Linked DNA regions of Sus scrofa. The protein of the gene in region 1 interacts with the protein of each later gene in a biochemical or structural test. Links are inferred from orthologs where the notes say so. Each region holds a gene or a part of one and is shown in the gene's direction. Other genes may lie near its edges. The genes, in order: PDZK1, RPS6KA1, ABCC4, SLC22A12, SLC15A5, CFTR and SLC34A1.

Region 1 (4,292 bases):
GAAAGGCATTCTATGGGGCACAGCTTGACCAAACAGAGAAGCCATAGGGAGCTAGCTTTTGGCTTAAGGACAACTGAAGCTTCCAGGAACAAGCTCTGCAGAGTGGGGGGCTCCCAGTTTGTGGAAAAGGTCAAGCAAAAATCGTAAGGTCACTGCTGTGGCTGTTTAAAAGGAATTCCGGTATGAAGTCCTTTTCAACACTTCCTAGTCATATGACAGAATGACTTAACTATAATTTAATGTTCTGGTTAAAATGAGAGAATTTGGATCTAGAAAAATGACTGTCTCTACCTTCTTTCTCCCTCTTTACCCACTACCCTATACCCCCCAAAGTAAGTTCCATAGGTAGGTAGGTGGGTTGTGGTTGGATCTTTGATATATATCAGTGAATACAACTCCTAAACCAGTTCCTGACATCTACTAGACACCCAAATGTTTGAATGAAGAAAGAGTAAAAGCTCAGTAAGTGTTTAATGTTACTGTACTTGGCCTCAATATTAGCTGCTACTGTCAGATAACGGTTGATTTGCTTGTTTGGGTAGTGATGTCAGAGGCATTTTTTGCATGTGATGAGTCATTCTGATAATTTCCCACATTCTAAAGAGAGAAAGAAATGCGGAGCATTTGCAAGTATATCACTGAAATGTTTGAAGTTATTAGCTAAACTGGGTAACTAGGAGGTTCTGTGCTGGTGCTACGCTTGTTTAGAAAGGCAGATGTAGGACAGATGATACCAGGACCCCAAATCCAATTGCAGCCAGGCTGCTGAACAGTAAGCTCAAGGGCAGAGGATGTTGTACTCATCTTCAATTGCTTGATTTTCTACTCACTGCCAACAAATGTCCTGGACAGCTGTGCGCAGCAATTTAGCTGCTGATCCTAGACCTTATGGTACCCAAATATACTCTTTTAATCCTCACAACTAAAACCAACAGCCAGCTAAACTCTTTATTCCCTCTCATATTCATATATATATATATATATATATATGACAACAAAAAACCCAGTCACATGCTTCCTGTTCTCTACCTCTTTTTGCATTTAAGACAATCACTGCCTTCTTCATATGGATTGTCTAGAGTTGAGATGGATTAGAAGTATTTAAAGATAGTGAGTCTAGTATAACAGAAATGTCAGGTGATGGTTACAATAATAAACAGTATTCAAGATTGGAGGGGGAGGTGAGAGAACCAAGTAGCAAAGCATTGGAATTAACTTGTTACCGTATGTGACCAACTGTGTGATTGCCACCACCCTCTACCCCTCTCCCCAATTAATTACTGTGCTTCAGATAGTGATAAAAATACTGTCTCATGTTTTACTTTCTCTAATGTGTTTAAGCTCTGAAGACCACCTTATTGAAGGGGAAGGGCCAGGTGAACCTACTTTGCCCAGAATACTGGGCAAGTCAATGTTGATAATTTCCCAGCAAGGAGAACGCCTGTAGTTTGTTCAGTGACTCGCTCAATATCATGGAAACAAAACCCAGTAATTCTGGTAGACTTATTTTTGGATTCTTGTACAACATTCTGTACTGCTTTTATTTTATGTATACATACATTTGTTTACATGTTTATGCTCATTACTCCTTAACAAGCTCAATTTTGCTTTATATCTCTTCTGTTTGGGTCATAATTATATAGCTCACAACCAGATGTATCTGGAAGAGGAGTGGAACATGTATGACGCCTTGTAAATTAAACCAGCACACTTAAAGTGCAATTTCTAATGTTTTTTCCCCCTTTGTTTTCAAAAGGCTCGTATTTCTCCTTTTCTCTACTATCAAAGTCAAGAACTGCCCAATGGTTCTGTCACGGAGGCCCCTGCTCCTGCTCCTCTGGAGGTCTCCAGTCCAGACACTACAGAGGAAGTGGGAGATCATAAACCTAAACTCTGCAGGCTGGTTAAAGGTGAAGATGGCTATGGCTTTCACTTAAATGCGATTCGGGGTCAGCCAGGCTCGTTCGTCAAAGAGGTATGGTGATCTGGTTCTGGCAGCCCAATGAACACAGCCAGTTAGAAGGGCCTCAGTTTCTCTCATTCACTGATGCCTCAGTAAAAAGTACACTGAGGGTCTCCTTGGGTTCAAATATGTGCTATAACGGTCCCGTACCATTTAAGATAGTTGCTAGCATGTCCCAAGCTCACATCTTTTGTTTCCTAGACATCTGTTCCACATAATTGTCTCTTTAATTACTTTAAACAGAGTAAGTTGGCACGACTGCAGTTGACAGTCACTAACAACTCTGACTGGGAGTGATACTTGTTTGCTTCTGTGCATTTGGCATAATGCCCCTACCCTGCAGGGACTGACAGTGAGATGATTGCTGCGAAAGCTCTCAAGTTGGGAATGAAGAAGGGGGACCTATGAAACCTAATGCCTTCAACCCCAGAAGACATACAATGTGATATTCAACCACTGTGACACTACTCATTTGAGTGGGGAAGTTGTAGCTTTTACAAGCAGAAAAGCACTAGAGCACCATTCTCAGCTTCTGTATGTCAAGGTGAAATAACATCACCTCTCCTCTGAAGAATAGCTAGTCTAATCTTCTGTTGTCCGTGTTTGGAGGTGATAACTCAGGACTTCTGCTCACAGGTACAGAAGGGCGGCCCAGCTGACCTGGCTGGGCTGGAGGATGAGGACGTCATCATTGAAGTGAACGGAGTGAATGTGCTGGATGAGCCCTATGAGAAGGTGGTGGACAGAATCCAGAGCAGTGGCAAGAATGTCACGCTCCTAGTCTGTGGAAAGAAGGCCTATGATTATTTCCAGGCTAAGAAAATCCCTATTGTTTCCTCTATGGCTGATCCACTAGATGACGCCCCTGATTCTAAAGAAGGAACGCTGGAGGAATCGGAGCATGACTCGCACACGGCAAAAGAAAGAGTGAGTGATGACACATTTCTTTTAATGATCTGACTAACCAGAGTATAGTAAAGTCCTTAATAAGCGCATTACACATCTATGTTTATCTCAGATTTCCTAAAATACTAGAAAATTACAGTGTAACAAGAACTAGCACATCCAGTTATTGAGGGGGAGAGAAGGTAAAGACAACACACTTCTTATTTTTCACTGCGTGGAATTGACAGTAATTGCCTAAAGTTCATAAATCGAGAAATAACAGAAGCTTATCAAAATTATAACAGGAACCACCAGAAGAACCTGAATCAGACTCTTTACGTACAAATTCTGGATCTGCCATTTATCATCCTTGGCCAAATGGATTTATTCTCTGTGCCTCATTTTCCCCACCTTTAAAATAAGGATAATTTGTAGGATTGTTATCAGGATTATGTTAAATAAGATTTTTAAAGTGCTTTGAACAGTGCCTAGTTCATGGTAAGAGTGAAATGAATGGTGGTGGTTAGAGACAGTATTGTTCTTATTATTCAAGTCTATTACTAGGGAAGAGTAAGCATTATTCTATATGTACTTAGATTAGATAAATTCCTTGGTAAGTCTCAACCTTTCACAGATGAACTTGAGAACTGACCTATCCAAAAGCGAACTGACCTATCCAAGTTCATAAAGGGAATGTATAGCAAAGCCAAAACGCTAATAAAAGCTTTATACACTTTCCATTACATTAATTCTACTGATTGATAATATATTAAAAAAATACTCATTAAAAACTATTTTTTTGGCCATGCCTGCAGCATGCAAAAGTTGTAGGGCCAGGGATCAAACCCACACCATAGTAACGACCTTTGCCCCAGCAGTGACAACACAGGATCCTTAACCTGCCACGCTACCAGGGAAATCCCAAATACTCATTTTTTTTTTGTTTGTTTTTCTGCCTTTTTTAGGGCTGCTCCTGCGGCATATGGAGGTTCCCAGGCTAGGGGTCTAATCGGAGCTGTAGCCACAGGCCTACGCCATAGCCACAGCAACGTGAGATCCGAGCCACGTCAGCAACCTACACCACAGCTCACAGCAATGCTGGATCGCATTAGGAACCTCATGGTTCCTAATGGGTTTCGTTAACCACTGAGCCACAACGGGAACTCCCCAAATACTCATTTTTAATGAACACATGCTTAGTCTGTTTGGGCTGCTAAACAAAATATCATAGACTAGGTGGCTTATAAACAACAAGCATTTATTTCTCACAGTTCTGGAGACTGGGAAGTCCAAGATCATGGCACTGATAGATTCAGTGTCTGGTGAAGGTCTTCTCGCTTGCAGGCTCTTGACTTCTGGCTATGCCTTCACCTGGTAGCAGGGGCTAAGGGGTCTGGGAGGACTCTTTTATAAGGGCAGTAATCTCAGTCATGAGAGCTATGTC
Region 2 (4,292 bases), on another chromosome or scaffold:
AACATACAACAAAGTGGAGGGCTAAAGGTGCTCTGAAGGGGGAAGTGTAGCACTGTAGGGTCCAGAGGGCCCCACTTCAGCATGGCAGGTTAAGGAAGGCTTCCTGGAGGAGGAACAGCCTGAACTAAATCACAGAAGAACCTGCTGCTGATGAGAATTTCTTAGGGCCTTTCTTTCTTCTCTTTTTTCCTTTTTTCTTTTTTTGGCTGTACCCAGTATACAGAAGTTCCTAGGCCAGGAATCGATTTATCACCATAGCAGCGACCTGGGCTGCTTTAGTGGCAACACCAGATACTTAACCCACTGAGCCACAAGGAACTCCTGGGACTTTTATTCTTTTTTTTTTTCAGCTTTTTTTTTTTTTTTTATGCCTTTTCTAGGGCCGCTCCTGTGGCATATGGAGGTTCTCAGGCTAGGGGTCGAATCGGAGCTGTAGCCGCTGGCCTACACCAGAGCCACGGCAACGCGGGATCTTAGCCATGTCTGTGACCTACACCGAAGCTCACGGCAATGCTGGATCCTTAGCCCACTGAGCAAGGCCAGGGATCAAACCCACAGCCTCATGGTTCCTAGTCAGATTCGTTAACCACTGAGCCACAACGGGAACTCCGATTCTTTAAAGTTTTATTGAAGTATAGTTGATTTACAATGTTGTGATAATTTCTACTGTACGACAAAGTGATTCAGTTAAACATAAACACACACCCATTCTTTTTCAGATTCTTTTTCAGATTCTTTTCCTGTATAGATTATCACAGAACGTTAGGTAGAATTCCCTGTGCTTTACGGGAATTCTGTGACTTTCCCAGTTGGCTAGTCATTTCATATACCACAGTGTGCACCTGCCAATCCCAAACCCTCAGTCCAGGACGTTTATTCTTTAAAAAAACAAAACAAATCAAAAGTGTCTGTGGGATGCCTGCTCAGACCCACGGGTCTGAATTTCAGGCCCAGGGAATCTGCTTGCTCCAGGTTGGATTTGGGGATTTTTATGCCAGATGGAGAGGAGGCTGCTGAAGGCATCCCGGGGGTGGGGCAGGGGTGGCAGATGCAGGGGCAGAGACTGAGGGCCCACAAGGAACAGGTTGCTCACACTGGTTGCACTGAATAGTTTCCCTGGGGCCTGGTGAGAGACAGGGCTAGAGAGATGGGCAGGGCACCAAGGGCCCAGCCCTGGACACTGCCAAGAGATGTGAGGAACAAGTAGAAAAGAGAGCCCTTCTTAGCCAGGGCTGGGGGGTGGCTGTGTTGGGTGGCCAGGCCCTTGGTAACTGCCTTCGTCCTCTGGCCAGTGCGTGACCGTGTTCGGACTAAGATGGAGCGAGACATCCTTGCTGACGTAAACCACCCGTTTGTGGTGAAGCTGCACTACGGTGAGACTACAGACAGTACCTGAGCTCCCACTCCACCTGCCAGCCGTTGCCTTTGCTGCTGGGCTGTTGCCTTCCCCATAGGACCCCCCCCCCCCGTCTGACACCCAGGGAGCTGGGGCGGAGGGCGGGGCCCAGGGCCCAGCTGGCTCCACCACTGCCTTTCCCCTCTCCCCAGCCTTCCAGACCGAGGGCAAGCTCTACCTTATTCTGGACTTCCTGCGTGGCGGGGACCTCTTCACACGGCTCTCCAAAGAGGTGAGCTGACTCCCTGGGGCCCACTGCCAGAGGGACCCAGGATGGGGCTGGTGGCACAGTGAGGCCTCTCAACCTCTCCCCAGGCCTGCGCAGAAGACCCTGACCCACCCTGAGACAGAAGCCATTCACTGGCAAAGCCTCTGAGAGTTTCCCCTAAGTTGGGCTGAAGGGAATCAGGCTCTGGATCTGATGCCACCCTGATTCCGGGGAGCTGAGGGTGGCTCTCACCTCTTTATTTCCATTCCTTCAGGGCTTCCCTGGGTGGGGCTGGGAGGATGGCAAGAGGCCCAGGTCCACCCAGAAAGCTCGATACTTTAATATTATGTCCACTGTTAACCAAAAGGATCTTGAACTGATGTGAAATAATTTGAACCAGATATAAAAATGGGGCCATTGGGATTCCTACTGTGGTGCAACAGGATCGGTGGCGTCTCTCCAGCCCCAGAACACAGGTGGCGTTGCTGCAGCTGTGGTGTAGGTTGCACCTGTATGCTGTGCGGACAACCAACAAAAAGGAGTGGGGACCATTAATACAACTTAAACTTTAGAAGAAAATGAAACTTTTAAATGTTATTTTAATGTTTGAATAGGTAATACATGATTAACAAGAAAAATGTTGGAGTTCCCATCATGGCTCAGTGGCTGGCGAATCCAACTCGTGTCCTTGAGGGCACAGGTTTGATCCCTGGCCTCGCTCAGGGGGTTAAGGATCCGGCATTGCCGTGAGCTGTGGTGTAAGTCACAGACGAGGCTCGAATCCCATGTTGTGGCTGTGTTGTAGGTCAGCAGCTGCAGCTGATTCAACCCCTAGCCTGGGAACCTCCATATGCTACAAGTGCAGCCCTAAAAAGCGCCCCCCCCAAAAAAAAAGAAAGGATACTCATTGAGATGTCTTCTTCCCACCCCAGCCCCATACCCCCAACCCCCACCATAGGTAAACATTTTTATTCATTTCTTGCCTAAGCTTCCCACGTTTCTTTGGAAATACAAACCCATTCAGCCTGTGTTCTGAATCCTGACCCCCTACTTTCTTGCATACAATATATATTTCTTACATATATACTGTTTTGTACTTTGCTTTTTTCATGATAGTATGTCTTGGAGATGGATCCGTATCAGAACATGGAGGAACCCTTGTTCTGGTTTACGGCTGCATAGCACTCCGTTATGTGGGGGGAGTCATTTAGTCTGCTGCTTGACCCTTGGGCTGTTTCCAGGATTTTGCTATTTGCATTTCAATGCTCCCATGAGTGACTTGGATATTAGTCATTTCGTTCTGCAAACCCCTTCATAAAGAGAAGGGTGTGTGGCCCTGGAATCCCTAAGGAGGACCAGGAAGCTGCTGACTGCGCAGTGCCCCAGCTCCCGAGGAAGAGGCGATCCAGCTGAAGCTCCCTCCTGCCTTTTGCAGGTTATGTTCACGGAGGAGGATGTGAAGTTTTACCTGGCCGAGCTGGCTTTGGGCCTGGACCACCTGCACAGCCTAGGCATCATTTACAGAGACCTGAAGCCTGAGAAGTGAGTGAAGGCCCAGCCCCGCCCGGCCTCCCTAGGGTTCAGAGGCAGGCCCTGGGGTCTCTCCTAGGACAGAGCCAGCCTAACAGGGGTGGGTGTGACTCTCCCCAAGAAAGTGTCCCTGTCTTGGGCTGCCCCATGAATGGGTGGGTGGAGCAGAGTGGGCTGCCTGATCACTAGCGCTGCCATTACCAAGGACCAGTCTCCTCGGTAGCTGGGTGTTACCTACCATTTTGCTACCCTGGTGTGACATCTGAGATGCCCCCATTAAAGGATATTCCTTGATATAATCCTTTCTAGAATTTTCCTTAACATCTAAATATCCTTAAGTGGAACTTGGGAGCCAGAGGCAGGTGCTGAGGTAGAATGAGACTTGGCTTTTAGAGTGAGGCAAACCCAAATTCAAATCTTGCCTCCACCAGCCTGGCTCTATGACCAGGGGGAGCTATTTCACCCCCCTGAGCCTTAGTTTCCCCATTGTTAAAAAAATGGAGCCATGAGGGAGTTCCCGTCGTGGCGCAGTGGTTAACGAATCCGACTGGGAACCATGAAGTTGCAGGTTCGGTCCCTGCCCTTGCTCAGTGGGTTAAGGATCCGGCGTTGCCGTGAGCTGTGGTGTAGGTTCCAGACGCGGCTCGGATCTGGCGTTGCTGTGGCTCTGGCGTAGGCCCCGGGCTACAGCTCCGATAGACCCCTACCTAGCCTGGGAACCTCCATATGCCAAGGGAGCGGCCCAAAGAAATAGCAAAAAAAGACCAAAAAAAAAAAAAAATGGAGCTATGAAAGTACCTACCTCACACAGTTGTTTCAAGAATTAGCAAGAGGGAATTCCCATTATGGCTTAGCAGTAACAAACCCAACTAGTATCCATGAGGACTCGGGTTCGATCCCTGGCCTCACTCAGTGGGTTAAGAATCTAGCATTGCCATGAGCTGGTGTATAGGTCACAGATGCGGCTCGACTCCTGCATTGCTGTGGCTGTGGCATAGGCTGACAGCTACAGCTCTAATTCGACCCTAGCCTGGGAACTTTCCATATGCTGCGGGTGTGGCCCTAAAAAAAAAAAAAAAAAAGAAGAATTAACAAAAAGGTAGGCAACACACCTGCACAGCACCACCAACACCCGCTCCACCCACCCATTCATCAGAT
Region 3 (4,292 bases), on another chromosome or scaffold:
GATCTAGAATGGCTGTGGTATGGTGTAGACTGGCAGCTGTAGCTCCGACTCAACCCTAGCCTGGGAACCTCAATATGCCACAGGTGAAGCCCTAAAAAGCAAAGAAATATGTATACACACACACATATACATACATATACGAATGGCTCTGAGTTGTGAAAGATCATTGCGTATTTTCAGGAGAAAGGTTTCACCCAAGAATTGTTTGAAATGAATATTTAAAATACATAGCACAATGATAGAAGGTTGCCCTGTATGTCGGGGTCAAGTTTATGTTTATCATAATGGCTTCTGACGTGGGTTCCTGAGATCCATGGCTTCTGCTTTGTGGTCTCAATCAAGTTGCTTTTCCTCTCCCAGTGCCTCAGTGTCTCCATCTATAAAATGAGACTGGACTATTACTAGTAAGGGTACTGCGAGGAATGGTGAGTTCACAGGAGTGAAGTATTGAATGCACAGCCCTGCACATTCAGCAAATGTTAAGTACGCAAAGAAAAAACAAAAACAAACAAACCAAAAAAACCCAACCTAGAAAGAGGAATTCTCATTTCCAGAGGTCTACATTTGAATTTTTCTCCCTTTCCTGGTCTTGGAATTTGCAATTAACCCTTTCTTTATCCATACAGGTATAGTTGAGGCTTTTGGATTCCTCATCTGTGTTACCTGCTTGCTCTAGTAATACCTACTGGTTCATAATTTGGAACTCAGGTCCTGCTGTCTGAGTCTGAAATAGTCCATCTGTTAAAAATCATGTTTGGCACATAGTAAGCTTGCAATAAACATGAGGACCACCTAAATTTTTGTTTTTTTTCTTGGATAGGAACGCATCCCCTACTTTTCAGACTTGCCTTTGGTGGAAAGGAGTTTAAGCCTAAAAAAATCAACCCATTAACACTTATTTTTGATAAGAATGTTTGATAGAGAGGGCTCTGTATCTATTTTCTTTATTTCAGACATTTCTACAAGTGATGGGTGTGGTGGGAGTCGCGGTGGCGGTGATTCCTTGGATTGCGATTCCTCTGATTCCCCTTGGCATCATTTTCTTTGTTCTTCGGAGATATTTCTTACAGACATCACGAGATGTGAAACGCCTGGAAGCTACAAGTGAGCACCTGGGCCCTCTGGGATGACAATGCAAACTAGCTTCCATTTATGCTGTAATTAGTAAAAATATTAATAAATAACCATCATTATTAAGACAAAATCATGAAGTAGAATTGTTATGTTTAAAAGAAGTTATCTGGACAATGTTTATGTCAGAAACCTTGACTGGATGGTTGCTGCAAATTAATACTAACTTTCTAGAAACCAAGCCAAGAAAGAGGTATATTGTGTTCCATAGTTCTCTGTATCTACTTCCTTTCCAGAAGGGGTGTAATCCCTCCTCCTCCAGGCAGCCCCCCAGGAAGCTCCCGGTGTGCCCTTTGGTGGGAATTGCGACCCCAGGGTGGGGGAGGTCGTTTGTTTCCTGGCATCCAGGCTCCCTGACCTTCTCTGTCGTGTCTCTGCTTCCCCAGCACGGAGCCCGGTGTTTTCGCACTTATCGTCTTCTCTCCAGGGACTCTGGACCATCCGGGCGTTCAAAGCTGAACAGAGGTTTCAGGAGCTGTTCGACGCTCACCAGGATTTGCACTCAGGTCTGTACGTTTCTAGAAATAATTTCAAGAGTTGGGATATGCTGCCTTCTGCGGCTTGACCTCCTTCTCAGGTGGCTCTCTCTCTGCGCTGCCTGCCTCTGCACATCCTCCCCCACCCCTTCCTCAAAGCATCTTCTCCGTTCCCTCCGTGTCCCCAGTCACACCGCTATTTTACTCCCCTGACTGGTTTGCACGGTCCTTGCATCATGGTGCCCTGTTGCTTTGTGGACCCTGTTGCAGCATTCAGTAACCCTTTTTTTTTTAAAAGATCCAGACAGTAAAGTAAACATTTTAGGCTTTGTGTGCCACCCTGTCTCTGTTGTATCTAATCAGGTTGCAGAAAAGCAAGGCAAACATAATACAAATGGCCATGGCTGTGTTCCAGTAAAAGTTTATTTGCAAAAGTAGGTGATGGGCTATTCCTGGCCCCAGGTTGTAGTTTGCCCCTCTCTTTGCAAAGCATGCAAGGTGGCCTAAGTGACTGAGGAAAAGAACTGCCTCATAGTCCGAGTTTCCGCCCACTTGATGTATGTTATTCTTTGCAGCAGTGATATTTTTTCCTTAGGTAGAAATTTCAGAATTTCCCCTAAGTCTGTAAAAATCCTGGCCCACCTTTCCAATCTTTATTGTATTTCGAGCTTAAGAAAGGCATTTTGCAAGCCACGTGCAGATCCTGTTAGCTGCTGCGCTCTGCTCTCAGAGAACTGGGAACGGTTGCCACTATGAGAGGATAAGCCTGACACCGAGGCCCAGCCCTGCAGCGAATGTACCCATTGTACCGTTTGTCCGTGTTCTTTATTACAGTTATATTTCTGTTTATACCCCGTGGGTTGAAGTCTCCCGTGCTTGCGTCTCACAAGGCCCCTGGCCTGATTCCTCTGTGTCCCACATGTCCTCTTGTGTCAAAATCTTGCTTTTTGGACTCTTCAGGCTCCTCACATGTTCAACTTGGCTGTCCTACTTTGTGTCACAATCTTCTGTCGCTCAACCTAGCACAGAGCTCTCCCCTACTCAAAGCGGTTAAGATGGTGTTTCTGCTTATTCACTCTCCTTATTCCGCTTCACAAATCCAGAGGCCTGGTTCTTGTTTCTGACCACGTCCCGATGGTTCGCCGTGCGTCTGGATGCCATCTGTGCCATGTTTGTCATTGTTGTTGCCTTCGGGTCCCTGATTCTGTCAAAAAGTGAGTACAGATGTGAATAACTGTGCTACGATCGCAGTTTATATAACTGCATTTACAGTTATTAAGGGAAACTTTTGCTACCTAGTCGAACATCAGAGGCTGTATGGTCCCCATGACATGTGTTCAGGCATTGGTAGTGTGGGGCTCAGGCGGAGGAGTCATTTGGGTCTTAAGCACACCTTTTATCCTTTTATCTTTTTTGAGTGGGTCGAGGTCTACACCAGTTTAGCAAACTGACCATATTTGGGAGGAGAGAAGCACACTTGCTTTTTGTGTAGGTTCAGCGCTTTAGGATTCAGCTGAAGCGCTGCTTGGATCTTGCGGTTGCAAGTGCCTGATAGACTGAGGTGAGAAAGATTCTCTAAGAGAAAACACTGCCCTCACTGCTGTGGGTACCAGAAGAGCAGGCGTTGACGCGCCTGGCATGAAGTCACCGTCCCTAACTATTCCGTCATAACAACCCAGAATTACAATCTTGAATAATGGAACAGTCAAGAGTATTATTTTAGTTTTCAAAGCACTGGTGTTCTTAGAACCCATTGCCTTGTTTTTCGTGGTTTCCAGCTGCGGCTACTTTGGACGTAGAAAGTGAGATTATCAGTGAGACCATAATGACGCAAGTCTGAATAATAACACGATTCCCCCACCTGTGTGGTGCTGTGCAAGTGTATTGAATAGCTTTCTGCATTCTTCCGATTTGGATTTTTTGGTCTGTTTTTCTTTTTTTTTCCCCTTCGTATCATCGAGTCCATCCGTAGATAGTCAAAGTACAAGTAATGCTATTGTCATACGCACATGATTTAAAAATCGCAAGGGAGTCTTGGTAAAGTGATGGAAGTGGCCGGGCTTGAGGGTAAGCGTGGCCTTGATGTTATTCTTCTTCTGCTTCTTCTCTTGCAGCTTTGGATGCCGGGCAGGTGGGCCTGGCGCTGTCCTACGCCCTCTCGCTCATGGGCATGTTCCAGTGGTGCGTCAGGCAAAGCGCCGAAGTGGAGAACATGGTGATGTCTATCGTAGCCTTCCTGGCTTTTTCAATTCTTCTTTCTATTGAACGACCTGCATGCAGTTCTCACGTAAAATAGCTGAAACCGTTATTTTCCATTGTAGCTAACAGACTCCCATCTGTTTAAAGTTAATGTAAAATAAAATATATACATCTTTTTCTCAGTCTTCTGGATGCCATGTCAGCAGGTTTTATATTCATCACAAACTGTCTTCAAATATAATAAATGTCTCGGTGGGAGGGAGGTTCTGGAGAGGATATGAGCTCATTTCTTAGGGACTGGTTTATTTTTGTTTCTTTATGGTTACTTCCTCATTTTTGGAGAAAAACAATTCAGTATTTTGAGGTCGTTTGTTCAATTAATAGGAATCTCCTCCTCCCCGCACCCCCCATATTAGGATTTATTCTTATATGTGTTGAACGCCTGACTTTGCTGGCGTCCCTCTTTTTACGGTAGGATGAGCCCCG
Region 4 (3,532 bases), on another chromosome or scaffold:
GAGCTCAGGAGCTGGGGCCACCCAGCACAGACTGAAGCCACCCAGGCCACAGAGACAGGGCCTGCTCGGTGGAAGCTGGCGCCATGGAGAGGACACAGCCATGCCTTCCATGGCGCCCAGAGATGGGGAGGGAGGAAGACCCCAGCTTCTCCCCAGTCCCGCCTCCAGCCTTTCACCAGGGCCTCCCATTGGCCATGAGGCGAGGCGCTGGCAAGGGAACCTGGGAAATGTAGGCTGCCGACCACCCACCACCATGCGAGCCTGCGGAAGAGGGTGGAAACAGGTCTGTAAACAAACCAGCAGCCCGATCTCCAGGCTGACTTCACCTGCCCACCCCTGCCCTCCAGGTTTGCCTTCGGTTTCACCTTCTACGGCCTGGCCCTGGACCTGCAGGCCCTGGGCAGCAACATCTTCCTGCTCCAGGCCCTCATCGGGGTTGTTGACATCCCGGCCAAGATCTGCACGCTGCTGCTACTGAGCCGCCTGGGCCGGCGGCCCATGCAGGTGGCGTCCCTGGTGCTGGCGGGGCTCTGCATCCTGGCCAACATGCTGGTGCCCCACGGTGAGCGGGCAGGCCTGGGCGCAAGAGGCCATGGCCAAAGGCTCCCTCCGTGGAGGGCTTACGCATGAAGAGAGACCCTTGTCCCCCTCCTCTAAGGGCCCTGGACTAAGCAGGGCCCAGGGAGGAAGGAGGCTCTTGGGGCCTGGGGGAGAGATGGTGGTGGCTGGAGCAGAGTTGGAGGGAGCAGGCAACATCGTGAACATTTGTGGAGAGAGAATAAGAACTCGGTGATGGATCGCAAGGAGAGGGGAGGGCAGAGAAGTGGAGGGTCTGGCTCCAGGTGTCTGGGTGGGGAGCAGACGGGGGTCGGGGGCAGAGAATGCGGCCATGGTGTCACTTAGGACACAGCACATGTCAGGGATCTGGGGTCACCCAGGTGGAGGTGACTGCAGACATTTGGAAGGTCAAGGAGAGAGTCCCCATTTGACCCCAGGGACCTGCCCACGCCCCCACTAACCTCACCTCTATCCACAGAGATGGGGGCCCTGCGTTCAGCCCTGGCGGTACTGGGGCTCGGCGGGGTGGGGGCCGCCTTCACCTGCATCACTGTCTACACTGGGGAGCTCTTCCCCACCGTGATCAGGTGAGCCCCAGGAGGGGGGCTGAGAGGGTGCGGTGGGGGTGGCCTCCACCCAGATCCGGTGTTTGGGCCCCCAATCTTTCCTTCACGTGGTCACGGTGCTCCCCAGGTGCAGCCCAGCCCAGCCACTGTGCCTCCTAGGGCTGAGCAGGGCTGGGTCGGAGTGAGAGGTCAAGGCTATGGGCAGGCAGTGTGGCCCCTCACAGGTGCATCTGTGCCGGCAGGATGACCGCGGTGGGCCTGGGCCAGATGGCAGCCCGAGGGGGAGCCATCCTGGGGCCTCTGGTCCGGCTGCTGGGCGTACACGGCGCCTCCCTGCCCCTGCTGGTGTACGGGGCGGTGCCGGTGCTGATTGGCCTGGCTGCGCTGCTGCTGCCCGAGACCCAGAGCCTGCCGCTGCCCGACACCATCCATGACGTGCAGAGCCAGTGAGTGGACCCAGCCCCGGGACTGTCCCCTCCTCCCTCTAGAGAACCCCAGAACAGGGCAGGCCTGGCCACCCGCCCCCGATGCTGGACAGAGGAAGAAGCAGAGGCCCAGAGAGGGACAGGATTGGCCCAGGGTGGCCCAGCTCATCCTTAGGAGAGTGGGGACCAAGGGCTGGGGCTCCAGGCTGACAGCGTGGACTTCGCCCTCCGCCCTTCCTTCCACTATGGGAGATCTGAATGGCCCAGCTTGCACCTGCTGCACGTGGAGAGAGGTCAAGGGGAGGGGCGTGTTGGACCACTTTGCAGTGGGGAGAGCCGAGGGTGACCACCTGTTGGAGGTCCTGGCAGACCCCTACTCTACTGAGAAAGCCCCTAGATGCCCCATCCCTCCCCTGCGATGAGCTCAGAGACTCAGTCCTGGGTCCCCGAGGGCAGGGCAGCAGTATCTCCTGAGTCCTCAGGATGGACTCGGTCAAGGGTCAGGGGTCGCACCAACGAGACATAACCCTCCCTGTCTTTCCTGGACAGGGCCGTAAAAAAGGCGACACGTGACACTCAAGGGCATCTCGTCCTGAAATGCACACGATTTTAAGCCTCCTGTGAAGCCTGCCAAGGGACATGGGAGGAGGCTCTTCTCCGAGGAAGGAGAGCAAAGGCCTTGGCTTCCGACTTGACTTCCAGAGGGCCCGGGGCTGCCGCTGCAGCCGAGCCAGCCTCCCCCTGCTAAGGAAGGAGCCACCTCCAACACAGAAGGAGCAAAGGATGCTGTGACTGGCAGGAGGCTGCCGGGCGCCCAGCTCCTTCAAGGCTGCAGAGAGGAGCAGAGCCGGACTCTGTGCCTCCCTCACTGCTCGCTGCCCCCCGAGCCTGAGCCCGAGGCCCGAGGTCAAAACCTCCCTGCTTCTCACCCCACCCGGAGGGCCCCGCCCAGCTCCTCAGCGTCACAAGAAAGATGCCTCCGGCCCCTCCCACTTCTCGCCACACTCCAGCCACGTGCCCACTCCCTTGCCATCCCCGCAGCCGTGTCTTCTGCCCAGAATGCCTCTGCCACGGTTGCCACTACCTGACAAACTCCCACGCAGCCTCCCAGACCCAGGGCAATGGCTTCGTTCTGGGGCCCCAGGCTCAGCCCCAGGTGCTCATGCAATTGTAGCGCGGCCATAGCCACATCCCTGTCGCCCCACAACCCCAGCCTATGAGCTCCTAGAGGGCTGGGGTGGTCCTCCTCTGCGTGTCCCCAGCTCCCACGCAGAGCAGAGGGGCACTGGGCAAGAGAGAGAGCAAATAAAGGAACCGAGTCCAGTGATGAGCCCCCAGGGTCTGCTGTCAGCGCTTGCACGCACACACAGGAGAAGGTCAATGGGAAACGGGAAGAGGCTCCCTGCCCCCAGGAGACAGGATCACTCCGGGGCTTGGTCTTATCTGCTGCAGGCCCTGTGCCTCCAGGGGGAAGGGGAGCTCGTGTCCTTTAGCTGTCTGCCTGTGGCCGCCCCTCACTCAAGACCCCCAGGACAAAGGGAGATGATGTTTGGAAAGATGCCCAAAGGTGAGGTTGTGCCAGGCTGCCGTAGGCGATCTTTCTCGTCTGCCTGCTGCCCGGCCAAGCCCCAGATGCCTTTCTTAGCCTTGCTTAGCATTCTGGGGACCCCAAGGTGTCCAGAAGGCAGAACCCAGGGCTGCAGGAAGATGGCCATTCTCCTGCTTCTGGCCAGGCCAGCAGCTCACCCAGGAGGGCATGTGGGAGGAGGAGTGCCAGGCACCAGGGCTCCATACTCACCTCCAGGAGGACAGTGTCCTCCCACAAGAGCCCAGCACTGGCTGAGCTTGTGTTCCCTCCCCTGGGGGCTTTCGTGGCCAGAGCAGGTCTTCAAGGTCAAAGGCATCCGCCAGACTTCGCTGCCAGCTTCCTCCCCGACCCCTGCCTTTTGTCCCCTGCGGGTGGAATCTCCTGACACAGCCCTG
Region 5 (4,746 bases), on another chromosome or scaffold:
TTAAAATTCCTGCAGGAAAACAGCAAAAAGACTGTCTTAGACCATGGGGTTGATCCCCAGACCAGAAGAAAGCTCCACCAGGATCTCCTGTTACAGATGGAAGCCATCCCCCAAAGGTAGGATGACCACACACTGGGGTTTGCCCTAGGCAAACCCCAGGGTGTATCTGTTTTTCAGGAATAAGAAGCATCGCTTTCACTCACAAACATGTCCAAGTTTGCATAATAAATTGCATGATCGCTCTACACAAAGGAAAAACGGGGTGTTGAAGAGGGGGAGAAGCAAGGCTGAGAGGATGAAAACAGATGCCTTTACAATGAGACTCTTAGAAGAGGTCAACACAGAATGTTTTGCTCCCAATCTCTCAGGTCAAAGATATGAACCAGAGTCAAAAGCCTTGATCAGTCTTTTGCTTTTGATTGCAACATGAAAATAACATTCCTATACTCACCCCCTATGTTTTGAATGATTATGACTTTGACCCAATAATTCCATTCCCTTGTCTTCCTATGTCCTTGCAGCTAAAGCCCTAACTGTTAAAGTGTTCTCTTTTACTGATGCTTTTTAAGTTTAATTTGTGCTCACCCGCTTTCCAAAATAGAATGCTAACATCCATTCACTCAGCTGGAGGGTCAGGGTGATTCCAAATTCAATATTCCCCAAAGCATGTATATGGGATAGTTGCTGTACCCCTGTTGCTGACTAATAATGAGTCAAATAGCACCTTTTGATTCTGATTTCCTCTGAGAGGCTGTTCTACAAGCAAGGGGTCAACTTAAAGGAAGAGGGTTTTTGTTTAATATTTTCTCCTTTCATTAGTACACTTAAATTACTTTCTTGCAAACTCTGCTTGTTACCTAAATGTACTAGCACTTTTGTTACCTAATTAGCTTTCTTATCAGAATTCAAACCAAAAATAACAAGAAATGTAATAACGATAAGGTATCCTGCCCCCTCAAAACAGATTTCCTTTCACGCTTTATCTCTTAGTACTGTTCTGGCTTGTTTAATTAAGGTATCAGAAATTATTAGACTCAAATTATTTCTTGATCTAGTGCTCAAATTCTCCTGAAAAACTGCTTCTTCTGCTTCTGTTTTTAAACCTTTATCAGTGTGAGGCAGATGAGTTTCCACACCTATGGTACTAGATTCATGTAAATCAATATAATTTTGGAGGAAGAGCCTAATTTAGCCTGTAAGTAATTAGACAAACAAATCAGATTGGGCTACATTGAACTACCATGGTTTAAACACTCGTGTCTCCTCTCCTGTGCTCCTGGATCATTAAAATGAACAACATTAATGTGCAAAAACCTTATGAAACTTTAGCACAGAGTTGTGAAATTCAAAGCAAAGATCTTATTTATTTTTTCATTAGAGGGGCAGGGGCAAAAATCACCAGGTTCAAACCACTAGCATACATAGCATTCAAAGAGGGTAGTCATGTCTGTTATAGGCTTTAAAAACACCGATGAGAAAGTATCTTTAAATCACAGGATTGAGAAGGAGGAAACTGTAAGCCATATTGGTTATTTCTCTTCATCATACTCTGTGAAAAAAATTCAGCTTGGAATCTGTTTGCTTCTAGTGGAGCTGTGTGAGAGGTTCACTTTCTTTGAAGTTGTCTGCAATATGATCCCCTTTTGCACCGTCAAGCTTGGCTACCACAATTATCAGGCCGCCATTTTGAACCTGTGTTTTATTGGGACATCAATCCTTACCCCTGTGTTTGCAGGATGGCTTGCTGACATCTGCCTGGGAAGAAACAAACTGGTCTATATTTGCTTATTTCTGCATTTCCTAGGTGAGTGCCCTTTTCTGACTGCATTGCTTTGCAACTTATTTGACGGTATTTTTGTTAGAATATTTGGTTTATGTTATTCCCACTTCCTTTTAGCGTAAAGTGTAATAAATGAGCTAAGACTGTTGTTTCAATTTATCTTAGTCTCTGTATTCTTTGAGGGACACTGGTATGTGTGTGTGTGTGTGTGTGTTATAGGATACTTTGATATGTTTATTATTGCACTAATTATATTTTATAATAATTATCTCTTCACATGTCTCTCTTCTCTACTCTATAGAACACACTCCTTTCCCTTCTTCTTACTGCAAGCCCAAATTTGTGACAAATTCTGTGTGAAAATATGAAGTTCATTTGCTTCACAGCTAAAGTGAAATGTGCTAAAAAGGTGTTTCGAAGTTCATGCAGACTAATTGAGAAACATTTTCATCAAAAGGCAGGCTTTCCATTTGCCATATAGTAATTAAGATTGCATTTGAAAACATGATGTCCCTATTATGAACTACGGCTACATGCTAAAAAAACAAAATGAGTGAGTGAGTTTAACACTACATTCTGCTTCTTTTCATAGTGAACAAGAGTTATCTCTACAAAAATTTGGGAGTGAAGTGATTGCAAGCAATGTTGGGGAAATAGCAAGTTTGTTTGATAAGGTATAGAGATCAAGTTGATGAACAGTCTAGAAATTAAGGCTGGAAAGTCCAAGTTGCTCTTCTAGACAACAAGGAGTTACTGAAACTATGATGAACACATTGGGGAAGTGCTTCAATAAACAGGATGAACAATCACAATGATAGCTTAGAGAGACAAGAGAAAATCTCAGGATGCTGGTCTAGGTGATGGAGAAAACTACTAAAAAACTCCTCTCCTCCCAACTTGTATTATAACACTCACCTCACAACCCCCACCCCGGGCTCCTCACCTGTGTGTGTGGCTTCAAGGCATTGCATGAGAAATGAGAGAAATAAAAGGGCTTTAAAAGGAAAAAGAGAAATAGAAAAAGAAAAGAGAGGCTATGATCTCCTCTACAATAATGTTCTTAAAACATTTTATTTAACAAGTTTCTGAGTGTCTGAGATCATTGAGTTTTCTCTCATTCCATTGATTAAGAACAAACAACTCTTACCAGTGGTTTTCTGGGAGGAGAGGGACTAAAAACATCTTTAGTCTCTCACATCAGGTATTTCTGAGTTGTTTTAATTTTGTCAAAATAGACACAATTTGCTTAAACATTTTGAGAGAAAAAATAGCTCAAGTTTGAAGGGAAAAAAACCAGGACTCTATAGATTCATCAAAAACACATATTGAGGGAAATATTTACATTGAGGAAAATTGTATTACCTCCAGAATTGCCATGATGAAATATTTTAATAAGACAATCACATAATGAGGCTCTGTTCAGAGGAAACGCCTTATTTATGATATGGTTTGTTGAGTCAATGGTCTATGCATATTTATTCCCTTTTTCCTTTATCTCTAGGAACTGCTTTGTTATCTGTGGCTGCTTTTCCCTTGGAGGATTTCTACATAGGCACTCACCATATGATTAACAACATACCAAAAAAGGAGCAGAACAGGCTGTTTCACGTAGCCCTTGTGGCCCTCTGCCTTGGCACAGGAGGAGTAAGAGCCATTGTCTGTCCACTGGGGGCTTATCGTCTTCAGGAGTATGGACCCCAGAATCGAATGTCTGTTTTTAACTGGTAGGTAGCATGGGCTAGGAGGGAAAACAGGTTTATGACATTCTTCTCCCTTTGGGCGTTTCTCATCGTTTGCTCTCTGGTCCCATTTTGATGGTGGTAGTTTAACCTTTGTCGTCGAGTGGGCTGGGTAGATGACAGTGGGACAATACCTGGGTAGTGACAAGGATTTAGCCAGTAATTATGGGAGCCTATGAGTTAAGGATAGACCCACACAGCTTATCAGCATCAGGTAAACATGTGTGAAGTGGTTTTTCATATGAATAGAATGTGGATTTGGAACCAAATAGGCCTTGGCGGCAATCTCAACTCCACTTCACAAAATTGCCTGACCTTGTTCTTTGTGAGTTGGACCACTGCTGAAGAGTTATAATAATACCTCTTCTTGGGTTTTATCATAAGTGATAATATGTGTATTGCTGGCCAAGAATGTAGCAGTGGAAGTAATCAATAAGCAGTAGATATTATGATTAGTTACGTCTATATGGTAATAGACTTAGAAGGCAGGGATTATAAATTCAGAGAGAAGATGATAATGCTTGAAGAAGTATTTTACAATTTGTTAAAACATCTACTAGCACCTCTATTTCACATCCACTCTACCTCCAACTCTTGAAAGAATTTATACTCCATGAAAACCAAACCACCATCTATGAATCTTTGTCTCTCCCAGTGAGTTCTTGTACAGTTTTATGTGTTTTGAAGGAACCAATTTTTATCAAAAAAATCCAAGAAAAAATTGAAATTTTGATCTTGAGGCTGAGTATTTCAGCATTTAGTAGAATTATTGATCACTAGATGTCAAATAGATCTGATATATATATATATGTCATATATACACATATATGTACATATATATATTGTTTTTTGCTTCCTCTTCTCTTTGAAATGGGTTAGCAACATTTTCTAAAATATGCTGTCTTTCCATCAATGTTAGCAGTCGATAAAAGCAATGCATAGGCAACATCAGACAAAATATTTACAGAAAATTCATATTAAGTGATTAAATAAAAAAACTTTGGAATAAATATTATCTAGATATGTGTAGCTATCTAAGAGAGTTCCTTTTTCTCTTTCCTTCCATCTTTCTTTCTTTTCTTCTTTCTCTCTACCCCCACCCATTATATTAATATTGCAAAGCACTCAGGCCTATTTTGGATTAAGTCCAAACATTAGAGAATAATGCAGTTTCACCAAAGGTGGAAGAGACTCTTTACTTCCCTATAGCAAATTCTGCCTCCTTGA
Region 6 (3,788 bases), on another chromosome or scaffold:
ATTCTTCCTTAAATTTGGATTTATTTATGATTCATCAAAACTGTGTTTGTTTGGTTTGGCCAGCATTCTAGGAGCTTAGTACATATTTGTTGAACAAATGAATAATGTGTTGAGGCTGACAATGTGTCTGGCATTGGCACTGAGCTAAGGAGCACAAATCTTTACCCTCAAGCAGCTGACAGTCCAGCAGGGGAATTTACATAAATGCTTCTGTGCCTATGTACCTGACTGCCCTAAAGGATGATGAGGAGTGTCGGGAGAGTACTCCAGGCAAAGCAATGGCACAAACCTGAGAAAGTCAAGGTGTATAGGCTGTGTGTTTAATACCGCTGGAAGTAGAAGTGGAGGAGGGGGCTCAATTCTGGATGCCTTAGGTGCCACGTGAGAGGGTTCGATTATTCTGTATGAAGAAAGCCACAACAGGATGTAAAACAGAGATATATATATGGTCAAACCTCTCTTTTAGAAGGATCCCCAAGAGGATGTCAGGTGACAAATTGTCCACTTGAGATCTACAGCCTGAAGCTTGAAATAATAAGGGCCTGGACTAGGGTTGCTGTAATAGGATTAGCAAGGAGGAGGTGGAGGATATCAGAAGTATTTGGGAAGAGGTCCAGGGCTGGAGAGAAAGATGAAAAATCATTGGCTTATTGGTGGTAGTTGATACCCCAAGAATGAATGAGATCTCAGAAGGAGCATTTGGAAAGTAGGGAATGAGGAAAACTAATACTCAAGGGGCAGGAAGAAGGAGAGTTGTCTACACAAGATAATAGGAAGAAATGGTCATTGAGGTTACGGTTTCTCATAAACCAAGGAACAGATGTTTGAAGAAGAAAAAAATGTTCTGTGGTCTCAGGCAGTGGAGACAACAGGCGCATAGTCATTATTTAAGATTTCTAGATGACAAAGGGGGTAGATATTAAATAACAGCTAAAGGAGAAGCTGGAGGCAAGCGGGGGGAAGGGGGGTTGTGTTAAGAGGGGAGAGACGTAGTAGGTTCACAGGCTGAAGCCAAGGAAAACAAAAGATGAAGAAAGAAAGAGAACAAGTCCTCCAGCTTATTGCCCAGTAGTCCTTGTTCCCATTCTCAGCTCCTTGGATCCAGAATTAATTTTATGTTGGAGTCTGCCAGGATATGTTAGAGTAGTCCCCTTTGCTTAATTAATATGTTTCCACCCCCTACCATCTCAGAAACTCTTTTCAAACATTAATGAATTTTCACAAAGTGAGGTTTCTTTCATGAGAAACCGTGACAAGGAAAGGGGTATTGTCTGCAATACATATCATGAGCTCACAGTTAATATTTGCTGAACAAACATGGCAATGTGGGCCATCCATGAATTCATCACTGAACTCATGAATGTCTTTCATAAGGCCATTATCTTGTGGCCATTAACTCTGCCTGTGTTACAGATAGGTGGGAGTGCATCGTACCTTCCAATACTAAATCCAGACTTCCCCCAAGATAGGATATAATTACCTATCTATCTCTTTAGCCCTCAAACACTCAGCAATACTTGGCACAAAATATATATCAATGTATATTGAGTAAGTGATGTGATGAGGCAAGGTTTTATTTTTATCTTCTTTGGAAAGAATGAGTTTCTATATCTCATTTGCATTTTCAACCAATTATTTTCCTTTCCAGCTTAAAAAAATAAGCCATTGACCCTAACACAACTCTCATATTTGACCCCAACACTTAAGCATCTTTAAATCTCCAGTAACATACAGCTATTTCAACTCCAGTTATTTTTACTTTATAGTGTCATCAATTTCTTAAAATCAGTTTGTACAAATTAAAGAGATGAAGAGTGAGTTGCCACAGGCTGTTTTATGTACCTTCTCAGTAGATTCTTTTATACTACCTTTCATGGTCTATTATGACAGAAATGGAAAGTAGTATAAAAGAATCTGAGAGTAACTGCATTCTATATATATCTTTTCTAGAAAGCACTCAATTGTATTGTAACTATCTAGGTATGTTTTTACAAACCCTAATCTTTGCCATGGACCATTTATCATTTCTTCAATTCCTTTTGGAGGATCTGACACATAATAGGCACTCATTTAAAATCTCATGAAAGAAAAAGTACACAGCTGAAACAATCCGTAGACCAATGTTTTAAAGCTGCAAGATTATGCAGAGTCTGTTGTTCAGTTAAACCCAAATAGCAGGAGTGTGGTGGGTTGGTATGAAATTTAAACTTTGAGAACTCCTGTGTATCTTTTCAGGTTGTCAGCCTCTTAAGTGTGTTTAACCCTGTAGAATGTGAACTCCTCCTAAGCACAGTGCTTTTCATCTTTCTTTTATGCAGGTTGGACTCAGATCTGTGATAGAGCAGTTTCCTGGGAAGCTTGATTTTGTCCTTGTAGATGGGGGTTGTGTGCTAAGCCACGGCCACAAGCAGTTGATGTGCTTGGCCAGATCTGTTCTTGGTAAAGCAAAGATCTTGCTGCTGGATGAACCCAGTGCTCATTTGGATCCCATGTGAGTTTCAGAATTCCTGCTTTTTAATAACACGGTGGGAGTGGAATCATTGAAGCCTGCTTCATATTGACACAAATTTCTATCAGGCTATCATGTCTGTAAGTAGAGGACCACCCTCTAGATATGAAATAATGACCCAGTTTAACAGTTATTACTTGACGTGAACACAAGTGTTTATTTCCTAGTGTAAGAGCCACATGTTCTCTTCTGAGTGTGAATTTGGAATTTCATACAAAGTCTTCCCCCTTATCAGTGTGTGATGAAATATCCAGTTAGGCATAGTTGGATCCTTATGGTTTTCCTTACTATCCCATTTATACACTAGAAAATACTTATAGCACAAAATAAAGAACTACTAGTGATTTGACATAATGAAAAATACATTTATTGGGGAATTTTTTTTAATTTCTAAATTTTTTCCAAATATTTTTCTTATTTATTTATGAAAGCTTAGAATCTATGTCATGGTTGGAAAGCTGATTGTGACTGACTCTATGTCAACATTATGTTAAACGTATTTGAGGAAAAATGAGTGATTTAAAGAACTAAATTGATAGAACAATAGGTATGTTATCAAGGATAGAGACAGACTATTATTGTTCTGTAATGTTATATGTGGTATTTTTTTTCTTTTCTAGAACGTACCAAATCATTCGAAGAACCCTGAAACAAGCATTTGCTGATTGCACAGTAATCCTCTCTGAACACAGGATAGAAGCAATGTTGGAATGTCAACGATTTTTGGTGAGTATTTATAATTTACCTAGGATCTTATGTCTCCTTTGATTCTTGATAATAATTTCATATGTGAAAGTTCCTGCAAGTCACAGCAACGTACAAGCTCTTCCTTAAAACATGTGGCATACAGCTCCCAGATTTACTTAAAATACCTGCTCAAGTTTCTTACTTTGATCTGTGTAATAATGTGAGGTTGGAATTCAGCAACCTCTAAAATAGCGGCATAGTACTAAGTGACATTAACAAATTGGAACAGGTATACTTTTTGAGTCTTTTATTTGGGGATCAAGTCATGAAAAAGACTAAGTCCTGATGCTTTCGGTAACTAAATCTCTCTTGGATGGGATCCAGGAGGACAGGCCTGGATCATCTTCCAATCTGCTGTAGGATTTAATGCAGTAGTGAAAGGTTTATTTCATTTTTCTAGCCATTTTTTGGAGCTCAGCTTAGTGCCTCTCCCACCCTCCTTCTCATTGTACTTTCAAAACTGTCACAGATTCTTTCAAGTGATGTTTACAAATTCCCTCAGGTTTAGTCACAAGGAAATTCTGAGGATGAG
Region 7 (5,034 bases), on another chromosome or scaffold:
CTCTCCTCTGCTTTTAGCCACTTTGACAAAGAGTCAATTGTGAGCTCTATGAGGTAGATAACTCCCCAAAGTTCTGTAAATTAAGCACTCATATTTAAGGTGGAACTATTCAAAAATGTCCATCCTCTTTGATGGAGAAGGCTGGGTCTGAGTGACCCTAAAATGTGTAAGATGTTGCAAAGGGCCATAGCTCAGGGGGTCCTGAGGGATCAAAGGGTGGCTGGTGAACCAGGAGGAGTTGTTGACCCACCACTCCTGAATCTGATAAAATATGTATTATTTTGGCAGCATGTGGAATTTCCCAGGCCAGGGACCAAACTCCCGCCACAGCAGTGACCAGAGCCACAGCAATGATAATGCTGGCCCTTAACCCATTGAGCCATCAGGGAACTCTCCCTACTTTTTTTTTAAGTTTTTTATGCTTTTGATTTTTTTTTATCTGATAAAATCGTGTTTGTGTGTGTGTGTGTGTGTGTGTGTGTGTGTGTATCTTTTCTAGAGCCATACCTGAGGCATATGGAGATTTCCAGGCTAGGGGTCTAACTGGGGCTGTAGCTGCCAGCCTACACCACAAGCCACAGCAACTTGGGATCTGGGCTGCATCTGCAACCTACACCACAGGTCATGGCAACACCAGATCCTTGACCCACTGAGGGAGGCCAGGGATCAAACCCGCCACCTCATGGTTCCTAGTCGGATTCGTTAACTGCTGAGCTACAATGGGAACTCCTGATCTGATAAAATCTTAATCCCTTAGAAGGGGCACCCCCTTCTCATCTCTCTGTGATCATAAGCCCAAACTCAGGCTCCAAGGTCCCAAGAAAGAGAAAAAAGTCTCCTTAACCCTCCTGTCTGGGTTTCAGGAATTCTGCAACAGACCTGTGTCATCATTGGCTTCCTGATCCAGAAACCCAATCATTACATACTTCCTCTTGCTCGCACCCTCCCCTGGCTTCGCTCAGTGGGTTAAGGATCCAGTGTTGCCACAAGCTGCAGCGTAGGTCACAGAGGCAGCTCGGATCTGGTGTTGTTGTGGATGTGGTATAGGCTGGCAGCTGCAGCTCTGATTCAACCCCTAGATGGGGAACTTCCATTTGCCTCGGGTGTGGCCCTAAAAAGGAAAAAGAAAAAAGATACACCAAGTATCCCTAGGATGCATTCTCTCCTCTCCATCCCTCTTCTTTCCACTTTGATTCAGACCTCATCATCTGTCACCTGGACCATCACATCAGCAATCTCTCCTTCCAGACTCACACCTCCCACCCCCTGCCTTTTTATCGGTTATGCCCGAAGTATGTGGAAGTTCCAGGGCCAGGGAATTCTCACCATAGCAGTGACTTGAGCCACTACAGTGACAACACCAGATCCTTAACCTGCTGTGCCACCCTGGACTTGCTCCCTTTGACACATACCACGCCACCCCACCCCCAACCCCAAGACCATTCTAAAGTGCAGACCAGGCCCTGCCCTATCTGGCCAGAGGCTTCACATTCTCCAGGCTCACATCCTGGATCTGTGGTCATGGACGTCCCACAGTTCAGCACAAATAGCCTCTCTGGGTGTGTCTTCTGTTGCTTCCTCCCTCACATTCTCCCTCTTTTCCAAATGCCACTCAAGTCACACAGACAAACCCAGAGACACCCTGATGGAAGGCAAGGCTCAAGGGTGTTTGGGCCATTCCCTGGGGAGCACTGTCAGGCCAAGAATAAGGAAAACGGGCCAGAGCCATGAAATCTCAGGGGACCCTCGGAACAAGGCACCTGAGTGATATTAGGGTCTCTGCCTGGGGGTGTGGGATGCCTCAGTGCTCTCCTTGCTGAATCTGGATCATGGTTCAGGCTGAGTATCTGTGCGGGGGAGGAGAGAGCCTGACCACAGACTCCCCCTTGCAGAGCAGACGATTAGCAATTAACTGGGAGGAATCTAGGGGGTTAGGTTAATCGGGGGAACAGAGGGAGAGCAGCTAGGGTTCTAGGGACTTTGCCCTTGACCCGAGGGTATAAAGGGGAGGGTCCCAGGTTCCCTCCTGGTCCCTCCCAGCCCTTCCTAGGGCTTCCCTGAGCAGCTGAACAGGAGCTGAAACACAGAACACCAAGGTGAGTCCAGGGTCCCCACATCCTAAACCCATCCCCAACACTTAGGTGGAAACAAGCCCCTCACCTCTGTCCTCACCATGCCTCCGTCCCTGTCCCCTACCACATCTTAGTCCCATCCAAGCCTGGCTCACTCCCCCAGAGTGAAAAGGACTCATGCTCTTCCAGGGCCCGGCATTCAGCTCTGCATACCTGCCCCCAATCCTAATAGCCAGGACCCTTGGAATAATGTTGGGGTGGAGGGAGGAGGTCCTGAAGCAGACTGGGGCACTCCCACCTCAATAGCAGAGAACTCCTGGGGCAGTTCAGGAGGGCCTAAGGCAAGCCGAGGTCTTCCCAGACTTGGGGACAGGGTGAGGGTTCTGCTTAATTAAACCAGTCCTGGTCTGAGCCTCATTCATGGCAAAAAGATCACCAACATTTTTTTATTGCTTGGGGGTGGGAATGGATGGGGAAAGCACTTCACTTGTGAGGGTGAATCTCTTGGCCCCAGGAAGCACTCTGGTGGCACCTGTATCTGTCATTAGGACACTTGTTCCCATTGTCATGTTCCATCTATCTGAGAGCTTATTTCATTGACATGTGTCTCCCCACTAGACACTGAGCTTCATGGGGGCAGAGCTGCATCTGTATTAGCCAGCTGTACCCTGGCGTTGAGCTCAGTGCCTGAGATAGAGTAAATAAATACTTGCTGAATGAATGAATGAACGAACGAATGACTGAATGAACGAATCCCCAAATGTGTGACAACCACCTGAGTGTGCTTTTCTGGGTGTGTATTTGGGATCACACACCATGGGTGTTTGTGCACATGAGTGAATGGGTGTGTGGATGTGGGGGGGAATGGCTGTGTGTGTGTGTTTCTGTGACACAGCAGTTGTCATTCAGTTTGGGCCCCCTGATGTGCAGGGCCCACAGAGTGTACCCAGGATGATGTCCTACGGAGAGAGGCTGGGGGGCCCGGCTATCTCCCCGCTCCCAGTCCGCGGGGGGCACATGATGCGTGGGGCGACCTTTGCCTACGTGCCCAGCCCGCAGGGTGAGTGCTATTCCTACTCTGAGTCCCTGCCTGCCCTTGATTGGTCGCCCACATCCCGGGTGAGGCCTCCTCTCTCCCCCCCACCCCCCCTCCCCCCTCCTCCGAAGTGACACGGGGCCTCAGGAAGTTCGTGACCGGCCTCCCTCCCCAGTCCTGCACAGGATCCCAGGGACCTCAGCCTATGCCTTCCCCAGCCTGGGCCCTGTGGCCCTCACCGAGCACGGCTGCTCCTATGGGGAGGTTCTGGAGCGCCATGACCCGCTGCCCTCCAAGCTGGCCCTGGAGGAGGAACAGAAGCCAGGTGGGCCTGGGTGAGGGGGGAAGGTGGGCCGCCAGTCACTGACTCAGACTTTGGCCACTGTGCTCACTGCTGGCCTGTCTCCAGAGCCAGGGTTGGCCCAGAAGCTGCGCCAGGCTGGCTCAATGCTCCTCAAGGTGCCGCTGATGCTTGCCTTCCTCTACCTCTTTGTCTGCTCCCTGGACGTGCTCAGCTCAGCCTTCCAGCTGGCTGGAGGTAGGGTGGTGGTGGGGGGACCAGGGAAGGGATCTGAAGAGTCTCGGAAAATGCTGCCTCATGTTCCCCAGGAAAGGTGGCTGGCGACATCTTCAAGGACAACGCCATCCTGTCCAACCCAGTAGCAGGGCTGGTGGTGGGGATCCTAGTGACCGTGCTGGTGCAGAGCTCCAGCACCTCCACATCCATCATTGTCAGCATGGTCTCCTCTGGCTGTGAGTTGGCCCACCAGGGCCAGGGAAAGAGGGAGGGGGCTGGGATGGGAAGGGCAGGAGTGGGAACAGGGGGCCAAAGGGCAATGGGCAGCTCTGGCATCTTGCACTCCATCCTCCAAAGCATGGCCTGGAATCTCAGCCAGGAGGAGATATCCCAGGAGCTGGGAAGAATGGCTGATTAGGAACAGAGCCTCAGGAGGGCACACTTTCATGTCACCACACAGTAGCTCATTCCATCCATCAGGGGAACAGAACCAGAGAAACCAAAGCTGCAGGAAGCACATACAGATCTATGACTTATTGCAAGAAATTGGCTTACTTGATTGTGAGGCTGGCTGGGCAAGTCTAAAATCTGTAGTGCAGGTTGTCAGCAAGGGCAAGCTGAGACTCCTGGGCAGAAACTGCTGTTTCAGTGCACAGCTGGAACTTTTTCTTGCCTAAGGAAGCCTCAGTTTTACTCTGAAGGCCTTTAGTCTTATTGGATGAGGCCCACCCAGATTACTGAGGTTGATCTCCTTCCCTAAAGTCAATCAACAGTTGAGGCAAATCACATGTGCACAATTCCTTCCCAGCAACATCTAGATTCGTGTTGGATTGAATTACTGGGCACTAGCTAAGCTGACACATGAGCACACACAAGCACATTTGCATATTATTTGCATATACGACCCATGCCCTCGTGGACACATACCCACGCACACGTTTACACATATGCAGGTGCAGTGTATGTATACTGGCTCACAAGCATGCACACACATAAACACACAGCCGCAGAGGCCAAGGCTGGGCAGAGTCATGGGCCTGGATGTGGGTAGGGGTTCTGGCAGGAGGGGTGGGGCAGGAGGTGGGTAGTCCCTGAACAGTTAGCTAGGAGGCACGCTCTTCTATCAGTGCTGGAGGTGAGCTCTGCCATCCCCATCATCATGGGCTCCAACATCGGCACCTCGGTCACCAACACCATCGTGGCCCTGATGCAGGCGGGGGACAGGACTGACTTCCGGCGGTAAGAGGGTAGAGCGGTGAGGGGCCTGTCCTTGTAGGAGGAGGGTGGTCCCACAGGCCAGGAGCCCCCAGGCTGAGCACATCCTGGCTCTGAGCCTATCCTGCAACACGGCCTCCCTGCCCAGGGCCTTCGCGGGGGCCACCGTGCACGACTGTTTTAACTGGCTCTCA

What was found.
Region 2: the proteins of PDZK1 (region 1) and RPS6KA1 interact in a test that uses a peptide from one of them, tested with the Homo sapiens proteins (2 studies listed by BioGRID and IntAct). The link is inferred for Sus scrofa from reciprocal best matches to the Homo sapiens genes PDZK1 and RPS6KA1.
Region 3: the proteins of PDZK1 (region 1) and ABCC4 form a complex in vitro, tested with the Homo sapiens proteins (2 studies listed by BioGRID and IntAct, with this or other methods). The link is inferred for Sus scrofa from reciprocal best matches to the Homo sapiens genes PDZK1 and ABCC4.
Region 4: the proteins of PDZK1 (region 1) and SLC22A12 form a complex in vitro, tested with the Homo sapiens proteins (2 studies listed by BioGRID and IntAct, with this or other methods). The link is inferred for Sus scrofa from reciprocal best matches to the Homo sapiens genes PDZK1 and SLC22A12.
Region 5: the proteins of PDZK1 (region 1) and SLC15A5 interact in a test that uses a peptide from one of them, tested with the Homo sapiens proteins (2 studies listed by IntAct, with this or other methods). The link is inferred for Sus scrofa from reciprocal best matches to the Homo sapiens genes PDZK1 and SLC15A5.
Region 6: the proteins of PDZK1 (region 1) and CFTR form a complex in vitro, tested with the Homo sapiens proteins (2 studies listed by BioGRID and IntAct, with this or other methods). The link is inferred for Sus scrofa from reciprocal best matches to the Homo sapiens genes PDZK1 and CFTR.
Region 7: the proteins of PDZK1 (region 1) and SLC34A1 form a complex in vitro, tested with the Homo sapiens proteins (2 studies listed by BioGRID and IntAct, with this or other methods). The link is inferred for Sus scrofa from reciprocal best matches to the Homo sapiens genes PDZK1 and SLC34A1.

The regions. Positions count from the first base shown.
Region 1 is NC_010446.5:99,651,957-99,656,248, forward strand, and holds part of PDZK1 (Na(+)/H(+) exchange regulatory cofactor NHE-RF3), read left to right. Parts: intron 1-1,756; coding exon 1,757-1,975; intron 1,976-2,599; coding exon 2,600-2,890; intron 2,891-2,895; exon of another isoform or gene 2,896-4,292. UniProt on the Homo sapiens protein: A scaffold protein that connects plasma membrane proteins and regulatory components, regulating their surface expression in epithelial cells apical domains.
Region 2 is NC_010448.4:83,923,088-83,927,379, forward strand, and holds part of RPS6KA1 (ribosomal protein S6 kinase alpha-1), read left to right. Parts: intron 1-1,292; coding exon 1,293-1,373; intron 1,374-1,548; coding exon 1,549-1,628; intron 1,629-3,039; coding exon 3,040-3,146; intron 3,147-4,292. UniProt on the Homo sapiens protein: Serine/threonine-protein kinase that acts downstream of ERK (MAPK1/ERK2 and MAPK3/ERK1) signaling and mediates mitogenic and stress-induced activation of the transcription factors CREB1, ETV1/ER81 and NR4A1/NUR77, regulates translation through RPS6 and EIF4B phosphorylation, and mediates cellular proliferation, survival, and differentiation by modulating mTOR signaling and repressing pro-apoptotic function of BAD and DAPK1.
Region 3 is NC_010453.5:64,134,732-64,139,023, reverse strand, and holds part of ABCC4 (multidrug resistance-associated protein 4), read left to right. Parts: intron 1-953; coding exon 954-1,104; intron 1,105-1,517; coding exon 1,518-1,637; intron 1,638-2,710; coding exon 2,711-2,821; intron 2,822-3,721; coding exon 3,722-3,822; intron 3,823-4,292. UniProt on the Homo sapiens protein: ATP-dependent transporter of the ATP-binding cassette (ABC) family that actively extrudes physiological compounds and xenobiotics from cells.
Region 4 is NC_010444.4:7,557,166-7,560,697, reverse strand, and holds the end of SLC22A12 (solute carrier family 22 member 12), read left to right. Parts: intron 1-347; coding exon 348-562; intron 563-1,036; coding exon 1,037-1,145; intron 1,146-1,366; coding exon 1,367-1,570; intron 1,571-2,098; coding exon 2,099-2,162; 3' UTR 2,163-2,876; downstream 2,877-3,532. UniProt on the Homo sapiens protein: Electroneutral antiporter that translocates urate across the apical membrane of proximal tubular cells in exchange for monovalent organic or inorganic anions. Involved in renal reabsorption of urate and helps maintaining blood levels of uric acid.
Region 5 is NC_010447.5:56,344,428-56,349,173, forward strand, and holds the start of SLC15A5 (solute carrier family 15 member 5), read left to right. Parts: upstream 1-1,443; coding exon 1,444-1,804; intron 1,805-3,281; coding exon 3,282-3,504; intron 3,505-4,746. UniProt on the Homo sapiens protein: Proton oligopeptide cotransporter.
Region 6 is NC_010460.4:28,630,026-28,633,813, reverse strand, and holds part of CFTR (cystic fibrosis transmembrane conductance regulator), read left to right. Parts: intron 1-2,318; coding exon 2,319-2,491; intron 2,492-3,129; coding exon 3,130-3,235; intron 3,236-3,788. UniProt on the Homo sapiens protein: Epithelial ion channel that plays an important role in the regulation of epithelial ion and water transport and fluid homeostasis. Mediates the transport of chloride ions across the cell membrane.
Region 7 is NC_010444.4:80,560,292-80,565,325, reverse strand, and holds the start of SLC34A1 (sodium-dependent phosphate transport protein 2A), read left to right. Parts: upstream 1-1,945; 5' UTR 1,946-2,096; intron 2,097-3,002; 5' UTR 3,003-3,023; coding exon 3,024-3,132; intron 3,133-3,283; coding exon 3,284-3,433; intron 3,434-3,517; coding exon 3,518-3,646; intron 3,647-3,717; coding exon 3,718-3,861; intron 3,862-4,752; coding exon 4,753-4,864; intron 4,865-4,988; coding exon 4,989-5,034.